Drosophila melanogaster: one gene and its partner. The protein of the gene in region 1 interacts with the protein of each later gene in a pairwise test. Each region holds a gene or a part of one and is shown on either strand. Other genes may lie near its edges. The genes, in order: CG17841 and Sam-S.

The links.
Region 2: the proteins of CG17841 (region 1) and Sam-S interact in a two-hybrid assay, tested with the Drosophila melanogaster proteins (one large-scale study listed by BioGRID).

The regions. Positions count from the first base shown.
Region 1 is NC_004354.4:10,366,241-10,371,313, reverse strand, and holds the start of CG17841 (uncharacterized protein), read right to left. Parts: upstream 3,263-5,073; 5' UTR 2,959-3,262; coding exon 2,555-2,958; intron 1-2,554. Other genes in the region: CG32679 (uncharacterized protein), read left to right, coding at 3,853-3,984, 4,117-4,496, 4,552-4,804.
Region 2 is NT_033779.5:105,057-109,975, reverse strand, and holds the start of Sam-S (S-adenosylmethionine synthetase), read right to left. Parts: upstream 3,074-4,919; 5' UTR 2,976-3,073; intron 2,216-2,975; exon of another isoform or gene 2,212-2,215; 5' UTR 2,138-2,211; exon of another isoform or gene 1,630-2,137; intron 1,389-1,629; 5' UTR 1,291-1,388; coding exon 1,167-1,290; intron 383-1,166; exon of another isoform or gene 226-382; coding exon of another isoform or gene 183-225; intron 1-182. Other genes in the region: Nhe1 (Na[+]/H[+] hydrogen exchanger 1), read left to right, coding at 3,334-4,007, 4,061-4,464, 4,521-4,585, 4,640-4,919. UniProt on the Drosophila melanogaster protein: Catalyzes the formation of S-adenosylmethionine from methionine and ATP. The reaction comprises two steps that are both catalyzed by the same enzyme: formation of S-adenosylmethionine (AdoMet) and triphosphate, and subsequent hydrolysis of the triphosphate.

The DNA of each region.
Region 1 (5,073 bases):
TTTGCCCACGCAATCAATTAGTCAAATGTGATTCCGCCGCCTAGTGCAAAGTGATCACTTAACCTTGGACGCACCCTGGAGCACTAGTAGCATTCTGGCACTGAATCGGTATCGGAATCAGAATCGGAATCAGAATCGGACTCGGCCTCAGGCCAACAGAACCGTTGCAAAGTCCCCCACATCGAATGTGGGCATTAGTTCCAATTAGAAGCGCAGCCGGTTCTACCTAATGAATGGTCCCAAAAGGTGTCACTGCGCCCCGCTACCGGCTGCGCATTTTACTATATAGTCGTCGGCTATATTATACCCACTATATATATACACATATGTATGTTACACATGCGAATCTATATGTATTCGCGTACAGGTGCTGTATAATATCTGGGTTGGGCCACGATAGGGCAATCGAATCGTATCGAATGTGATTTAGATATCGGTTACTGAGTCGCCATCAAAGCGCCACGAATGTCCACAATCCAAGCGAGCCAGCGGTAATGTAAATAAACAAATAGCCTCAACTATGTCCAATTAAGATTTATGACGAAAGTCAAGGGCTCGGGGAAATGGCGAGTAGTGGCGATGGAAAATTTTTTTTAAATAGTTCTACGTTGTTTGGTTGCTTGTTGTTGTTTGTTGTCATACCCAGTTTTTCCTCGCAATATTCTCGAGCTTTTCGAAAGCCTCCTTCTAAGCATCTAACGACAAGCCGCTTATCAATGCTAGATGCACTCACTCACCCAAATCGATTCGTTTCCCCGATAGCAGAAGCCAGAGCAGACAGACCCGGATAGATAGATAGATAGAGGACGGGCAGATAGGCGGGGCCAATCACTAGAGCCCCGGCTGATTGCCTTATCGCCCAGCGTGGAGGTGAAGTGCGTCTGTTGGACTTACAACGATCGTGGTGAATCAATTAGCCACCAGGAAATTGGGTCGTCTGGCAGGGTCTTTGATGATTAGATGCGTAACCCGGGTCATGCGGATACTAATAGATTCCATGCATACAATTTGAATAGCATAACTAAGGCAGTAAATTCTGTAGCTCAACTTAAATTGAGAAAGGGAAAAGTCTTTACAAATGGTAAAGAAGAGAACCCAAGATCTAGTATACACCTCATTGTGGAAGAAAGCATGTGATGAGCGCTTATCCAAGTCTACTGATAAAGCAGATTGAGCCAATTCCCGTCCAGAGATCGGGTTGTATAACACCTGTACAGCAATTGGGCACACATGGCGTTACCCATATAGACCGGCACTCTCTGTTTCATCATGACAAATGTGCATGTTTGTAATCGCAGTTGGCGGTGATGAGGGCAGGAGGGGAGTAGATACGAAATGAGAAGAGAGCGAAACTCAATTTAAGCGCGTTAAACAATTCTACACACAGTTTAATTAACACTTTGGACTGCGGGGGTAATAGTTAGGCAAGGGGCACTCCATAGTTGGGCAATTACTAATAAATGGCCGTTTTGTACGCTTGCATCAGATGAATTGAAAAGCTGTGAAATAATTTCACTCGCTCAAGCAAGGGAGAATAGATCACAAATGCCTTTTGCCAAATGGACAATTGAATTTCAGGATATATTTGTGCTTTGCGAAATTGGAGCATGTTTCACTGGCTAGTTAAATGCGTCGTCAAGTCGATGGATGCTTGTTCTCCACGCAATTATTCCGTTTCGAAACCCGACTCGCCTTGAGCCAAAACCCGTTCTATCCAACCGCCCACCGCCCACATCCCACGCCCGCCACGAGACCTTGACCCGCATGTCGCTGTGCTCGAGATGATGATATAAATCAGTGTCGGCTAAGGAACGCCATTGCCGAATGTCGGGGACACCAGCCAGCGTCCAGCCGAGCGCGCTCGATTCCATCTGTCTACACGTCGATGAGCAAGTGCCCTCCAAAATGCGTACTTAAAACTGGGCTAGGCACTCACTATTAACTCGCGCCCGCTAATAAATTGCCCAAGATAAGACTGAAGGTAGGGAGGGTAGCCACTTGGGTAGGTTTCCACTTCATAGTCTAACCTAATTAAGCTCCGCAGCGTAATGTCACTGGGTGAGTCATCGTCATGCTCGCCCAAAGACGTAAGGCGGGAATATGATTGATGGTGAGACTACCTGTTACTTGGGCCAACAATTACCTACGTAATCGATGACAGCATCTAGCTGTATCTTTAGCTATCTGAATTTCAACCCAAAAGTCTAACTAAGTCTGTGTGGAAATATGAGTAACATGAGAATTTAACTAAATCGCTCCAGTTGCACTCATGGTAATGATTTAGCCAACACAGAAGTGTCTATAATTATGAACTTATATAAGTATTAGAAACGCATAAATAGATTGCGTAGATCATGTGGTCGAGAAAAGGGCAACTATTGGCTGCCACAGAGTTATTTGGATGGAAAGCCCCCACCACCCGCCAATACCCCGTTCGGCTGCATAACGCAAGTGCAGTAAGTGCGTGTGTGGGTGGCAGTGCGGGAAAATCGATACTAATGTGCGTGCAAGACAGCCGCATCCGTGCATTGCGTGGGCGTCCACTCCTACTCACTTGTTGGTTATCTCCAGGACGTCGGACATCATCAGGCGGTACTTGCGACGAAAGCGCTGTCCATGCGTCGTCTCCAGCAGGTATTTGTTGCAGAAGTCCGTTAGCGAGACAAAATAGATGAATCCCAGCGAGGTGAGCACCAGGCCGCGCTGCAGCGAGATGCGGTCACTGCTGTTCGGTATCTGCCACAGGCTGCCGCAGGCCAGGCCCATCGAACCGATGGAGAAGGCCAGCGAGAAATAGCAGCCGCGTCCCGTTGCCTTGCCCGGCGTGCTGCCCGCCTCCTTGGCGCCAGCATCCTGACTCAATGGCTGCTGCTGTTGTTGCTGCTCCTCCGTACGGACGGCGGCGGTGGTTCCTCCTCCTCTGCCGTTGCCATTCGCCGGCTGTCGGCGCTGCTGCATCCTGGCGCGTATACGCACTCCACGCTCTGATCAAAGCTCGCACTAAAACCTTCTGTTGGCGAAGGCGACGCAACCTGTTGCGGAAACCGAGAAACGGATTCCGGACTCCTGACGCTGCTGCTACCGATGACTGCGGGCTGCGGACTTCACTCGGCGGTTGTTTACAGGCGGCACTGCGTCTGGGACATGGCGATTGGACGACTGGGCGATCGGGAGGAGCTGGAAGACTCGGCGGTGCGAGGGCTCATGGATTCGTGCGGATTCGTCGTCGCAACCAATCGGTGGCAATCGTTCTTCGATTGTGCGTGCCTATCGGCCGGTGTGGCCACACACCAAGCGCACTTTAAATACCAAACTTGATTTTGGGAGAGCACCCCTGATGAAATGCAAACTAATTCAAATTTGTAATATCAATTATCAAATTGAGCTCGGACTAATTTTGGGCATAGTAACGGCACTTATATATAGCTTAATATTTGCAAGACATAACTGCAGCGATAACGATAAGAATACCACTAGCCGTTGGTTTGTGTCACGGCTTTAGCCCATCACGGGGATTATATCTTGACATTTTGAAAAAGTCTTCGAAATTGTCTTTAATTATTTTGCAACATTTAAAAATACACAGCAGCATTCGAAGGGACTTACGGGATAAAACAAAACAAGTAACTAATATTTACTTATGGTCCGCACTGTACTCGAGCGTGCATTCATTCAATCAGCATATATGTATTAAATATGTTTTTTTTTTAATAAAGCACTTGTTTACTTCGTCGCAAAATCAAAAGACAGACTGCGGCCTAAATAAATACGTGCGTCGCTCCATTCATTGAACGTTATGTCTGTTTGCGAAATGTGTAGCAAATTTAGTAATTTTGCGTATATGAAACCAAAATGTCACGATCTCCCTGCTGGATTTTCCTTTTATATTTGGTCCTTATCATTTTCACTTTTACTTTCGCACAAAACTATTGCGATCCAGAACTGTGTCCCAGTGGAAGACACGTGGCCTGCCAAAACAGCGGTGTAAGTTGATGCACACGATGATAAATCTGCACAAATGAAGTTGAACTTCCATAGTTACGAAGGTTCAACTGTACCTGTTTCCAACGCTCTCACGTTCTATCCTGTCTAATCCTGTTCGTCGACTTTTTCTAGCGCTTTGTGAGCGGTTGCAGCGGCGAGTTTGTCCAAGTGGATGCCCACATCCCGCTGATTCTCCAGCTGCACAACGAACGCCGCAACCTGATCGCTGGCGGTGGAGTTAGTGGCTTCCCCAGTGCCGTCCAAATGGCCACAATGTCCTGGGACACGACACTGGCCCAACTGGCCGCCTACAATGCGCTGCAGTGCCGCATGGCGCACGACGAATGCCGCAACACGAACACGTATCGCTATGCCGGCCAGAATCTGAGCATTCTCTTCACCCGAAGTGTGGATGTGGCGGTCTTCCTGCGCCAACGGATCGCCGCCTGGTTCGATGAGAATCGGGATGCGACCAGTGGCGACATGGAGGACTATCAGATGCGCGGTGGACCGTAAGTACACCACCAAGCCGTAGCGAGTTTGGTAATCCCATTAACTCCTTTCCAGAGCAATTGGCCACTTCACCACCATGGTCAACGAGCGAAATAACCGAGTGGGTTGTGCGATTGCTCGATTTACGGACGCCAACAATGTGCAGGCCACCCTGCTGGCTTGCAACTACGCGGTCACCAATGTGGTGAATAACCCGGTTTACAGGGCGGGAACCGCTGCCTCGGAATGCACTACAGGACGAAACTCCAACTATCCGAATCTCTGCTCGCCCAACGAGGTGTACAACTATAATCAATGGTCGGGATAAGGGAATGTATGCTATTTAGCATAACATTTTCAAGCGTAAATGTGCTGAATTGTTTATTTTTATTTGTACTCGACTGCATTTCTGAATATATTTTACACGTATTTATCGAACATTTTTTAAAATTGGACACCCTATCGAATAGATCGAATTCTAAACGATAAGCGATATTTTATCGATTATTTCAGTTTATCTGGCCGCATCGTACCTATCGATTAAGCCTAGCATGGCGTACCATCTCTAGTTGCTCAGCATTCGTACTTTACTTTTCA
Region 2 (4,919 bases), on another chromosome or scaffold:
AATGGCGCATGGTATCGATTTCGGCTGGGATAATGATTGCGAGGAAACTAGTTAGGTCAAGGGTTTAAAGTAGCTACTCTGAAATGGGTTTCAGGGTTTCCAATTTCCGGCTAGTCTAATTATCTATTCTAACAAGTCCGTCACTCATTTATTACAAAAAGACAGGCGATATTAATGTCAACCATTTGGGGTGTATTCTTCTGAATGGCACTCGGCGCTTATCATCACGATTGTATAGGGCTAGATTGTCTAGGGCTAGCTTGCCAAGCCGACTTAATTAGCATTATAAAATAAAATAGTATAGAATAGTAAAAGTAATCAATGCGTAGTATAAAAGGTCGCTCGGCTTATCAACAGCTGTTGTCAAACACACTACTATACTGGTCGCCACTGCTGATATAAACAAACTCTGGGAGGGGCGAAAAGATCGAGCTCGAGCAAAACACGTGGTTGGCAATTTCGGTGAAAAAAATAAGCTTTGACAGCGGTCTAGAAAAATGTAAGGTATGTTTGTGTTGGCCGTTGTTTTGATCGCCATCTGCGATCAAATGAACAAGTGCGTGGACAACGTAGAACAACGTAGAGAATACTTGAATTTCGCATCTCCCATGAGCCACAAGCACATGGTGCGCATGACGTAGTCTCTCTGTACACACATACATACATATGTGAGAGCCGCAAACGATAAAGAACCAGTCTATTAATTGCGTCTGCCCATCCAAGCACAAGGTTTAGCCCGCTGTTGTGCGGGGATTTCAAGAGAAGCCAGCTGTTCTCCGTGGTCCCAGCTTTCCGGCTTGGTCACCGGGCGATGCAACAGAGGCACGTTTTACTAGCTCTTCTTCCCGTTCTCAGCCTCTGTTCAAGTCGTGCAAATTGGGTAGAAATCAACAAAGGTATGGACATAATTTCGTCGCCATTTTGTTAGAGTTCAGGCGGTAAGCAGAAGTGAGTAGACGGTGGAGGTGTGGAACTGGGTATACAGGGAAAGGGACTTCAGACAGAAGGGCCTCAGACGCTAGAGAATCAGTTTGGTCAGGTTATGAGAACTGACAGGCAACATCTCTCACCACGCCCGAAGGGGCATTTGAGATTGTTTCTTTTTTTACACTGACACTATCGGTATGATGCAATAGGAGGCGCCGCAGATGCAATGAAGCACTCACCTGGATGACCCTCGCCAACGGACTCGGAAGTGAACAGGAATGTAGCTCCGTCTTCCATGTCATATGAGTTGCCATTGCTGCCGTTGCATCCGTTGGCGCTATGTCCGTTTGTCTTTTGCGGCATGTTGATGGGTAGTTTGTAATATGTAACTCGAAGTTTGAAGGGGCAATGGGGGAGCAGTGCTATAACCCGAGTTCCGGTCGGCTAAATTGTTGGTGGAGCTGGGGGAACAGAGAGAAAGAGAGGCCACATTAGCGGTTGTTAAAAAACGCTTAACGAAATTGATTTTCCGAACTCTTGCAAAACACATCTATTTTCGCATTCGCGAATCTAAGCTATAGGCCGCCTCGAGGCTGTTGGGATTTTCCGGTATTCGCACACTTTTCGTTATAGTTTTTTTTATATAATCGCCCTTCTTTTATGTTTTTATGCTGCGCGTTTGCCACAATCGTCGCTACATACATGAGACGCACGTTGAGCGGGTTCAAAGCTAAACTAGTCGCTAGGTGAGGGCTCGGTGCTGCTAGCTGTTTAAAATGCGTGTTCGACGTTCTAGCTATTAGTTCAACAAATTATACACACTGATTCTGAGTTATACTGGTTCAGCGACGGCAACCAAATCAGCGGCGCAGCCAACACACGTCCTATCTTAGCGACGGTTCTGAAGAAAAAGAGCGCAACTTTTTAATGCCATTCAGAATTTATACCTCCAACGAGAGAGCGGGCTTTTGCTTATCGTCGCAAACGGAGGAGGCGGTTCTCTTCGGCTGACTCGATTATTATTTTGAGACTTATTTGGGCGCTCTTTAGGGAAACTTTCCTAGCGTTCTCGGTACTCTCAAATGATTTTACTTCTTCAGTATCTCCACGTTTTTGGGTTTTAAGCAGCTGTTCCGCCGCCCAGCGTTGCCACCCCGCTCCGGAGTGAACTGTAGTGAATCTAGATCCAGATCCTTTATTTTATACTCACTGTGGTTTTGAACAAAGGATCAGACAAGATATGGATTATAGTCTCGACTAGCTTCCTGCTCAACCTGCGTTCAACTGCGGATGATTTTTACAGACGAATAATATTTATAAATTTTTGTAGACAGCATTTGAGAAGATGAGTCGGCAAGAAATAAGAGCTTATCAGAACAAAACTATGTGCTACCACGGCAGCCACCTATATACCTAATTTTTAAAATCTGTTTAGCATTGCTCTCTCGGCTTCTCTTATGTACAGCAATTGACATATACATATTCGATGATATAGACAATCGCTACACGAAGCGCAATTCGAAGCGAATTTTTAAACGAATGTCTGTATCTGTTGAAACCCTAGCTTTTCCCTAACATGGAGTGACTGCCCTTTTGGAGATGGATCGTTCGACACTATCTTGTCAAGGAAAGTCGTCAATTAGGGTTCTCATACTATTCGAACAATTTGTGCTTTTGAAAAAGTGCTTACGTCATGCCACAGCCAAGAAGACAAACAAGGTCTGCCAAGATCAAGGAGCCTGGTAATCAGTTTTTGCATGTACATTTTTTAAAATTCTAATACCCACTGAATATAACCGAAAACAACAAGCCCCATTATCTTTCAAATAAGGTGTGACCCCACGGGGCCTAAGAAGATCGCGTGTGCCTGAACGAACAGATGCGCAGGGCACATTATTCTTGAGCACAAATGGTGGGTGCTTGCGAACTGTAGATTGTGGCAATGCATTTATTTTACTGATTTATCGTCAGTTATTGTAATAGCCTTAACTAAACAATTTATCACTTTGCCAATAACAAGGTTTTTTATTATTTCACTTTTCTAATACATATATAATTTTCTTTTTGCCGTAAGAAACGTTCTCAATACGTAGACAAAAATATTTAAACTTAAAATGCTCAATTTTCAAGACACTTCACAAGAGCTATCAGCTACAATGACTGGGCAAAAGCCAATTATTTAAATAAATTCATTATATGGTAAAATATACTGCACGCAATTAAGTGCACAATTTTCTTTTGAATATATGAAAGGCACGCGCCAATAAGCCAAAATGATACGGCAACTCTCCCCGATATACGTCAGATAGGGCGATAAACAGATGTTTGTGAAAAAACAAATTGAACAAATAGTGAAAAGTTAAATGCGAGCGTTAATAGCGACCACGTCACGTTTTGTCGGCAAAAATGAGGGTTTGGGTAGCTTATAGTGCAGCTGCACTCTTACTGTTGGTGCACGCGGGTCCGGAAAGCATCAGTGGACAGGAGGTGCCCCAAAGCAAAACATCAAGCAACACCACCACTACAGATAATAGTAGCTCTATCCACACCGTTTCGGATGTCTTCGTCAACAGTCCGCTTGGAAATGTCACGCCCTCGATTTCTGCATCTGGTAATGCAAGCACCACGAAAAGGGGAAACGCATCCACATTGGTCACAGATCCGCCTCTAATCGATTCCCATGCTGTCGAGCAGGAGCACAACTCCTCACTCTCACTGTTTTTCGTCATCTGCGTTATCATGTTGGGCATCCTGCTTATCCACTCTATGCTCCAGACCGGGTTCCAGTACCTGCCAGAAAGCATTGTGGTAGTCTTTCTGGGCGCCTTTATTGGCCTTTCGCTGAACGTTATGTCTGGGCAGAATGGCAGTTGGAAACGTGAAGAGGTCTTCTCGCCCATGGGCTTCTTTCTGGTGCTCCTGCCGCCCATTATATTCGAGTCCGGTTACAATCTGCACAAGGGAAACTTCTTTCAGAACATCGGATCCATACTGGTCTTTGCCATATTCGGTACAACAATTTCTGCACTAGTCATCGGGGCGGGGATTTACCTGCTGGGCCTGGGGGAGGTGGCATTTCGGCAAGTTTAAAATAAATTGTCAATTTCATTCAATAATTTATCCTAAATTTTAGCCTAAGCTTTTCGGAATCCTTTGCCTTCGGTTCTCTCATCTCTGCTGTTGATCCTGTGGCAACAGTGGCAATTTTCCATGCTCTTGACGTAGACCCCATACTCAACATGTTGGTATTCGGCGAAAGCATCCTCAACGACGCCATATCTATTGTGCTGACTGCATCCATAACCCAATCCGCTAACGTCAATGCTGAGGCCAGCACTGGAGAAGCCATGTTCAGCGCGTTGAAGACCTTTTGCGCGATGTTCTTTGCTTCGGCGGGCATTGGAGTCATATTTGCACTAATTTCGGCTCTTCTTCTGAAGCACATCGATTTACGAAAGCATCCATCCCTCGAGTTCGCGATGATGCTAATGTTTACTTACGCACCTTACGTCTTGGCAGAGGGAATACACTTAAGCGGTATATCAATGTTGTTGACTATGACTCTAAAAGCTAAACATTTTTTTCAACTATAGGTATTATGGCTATACTATTTTGCGGAATCGTCATGTCCCACTACACGCATTTCAACCTATCCACTGTAAGTCATATGATATCCCTATTTTATATATTATTAAAACTTTTTTAATCGTAGGTTACCCAAATTACCATGCAGCAGACGATGAGGACACTAGCTTTCATTGCTGAGACCTGCGTGTTTGCTTATCTGGGATTAGCAATCTTTTCTTTTAAACACCAAGTTGAACTATCTTTTGTTATATGGGCCATTGTGCTTTGCTTAATTGGCCGCGCCTGCAATATTTTTCCGCTCGCGTTCTTGGTCAACAAATTTCGCGAGCATAAGATCAATAACAAGATGCAGTTCATTATGTGGTTTTCTGGCCTACGCGGAGCGATTTCCTACGCGCTATCTT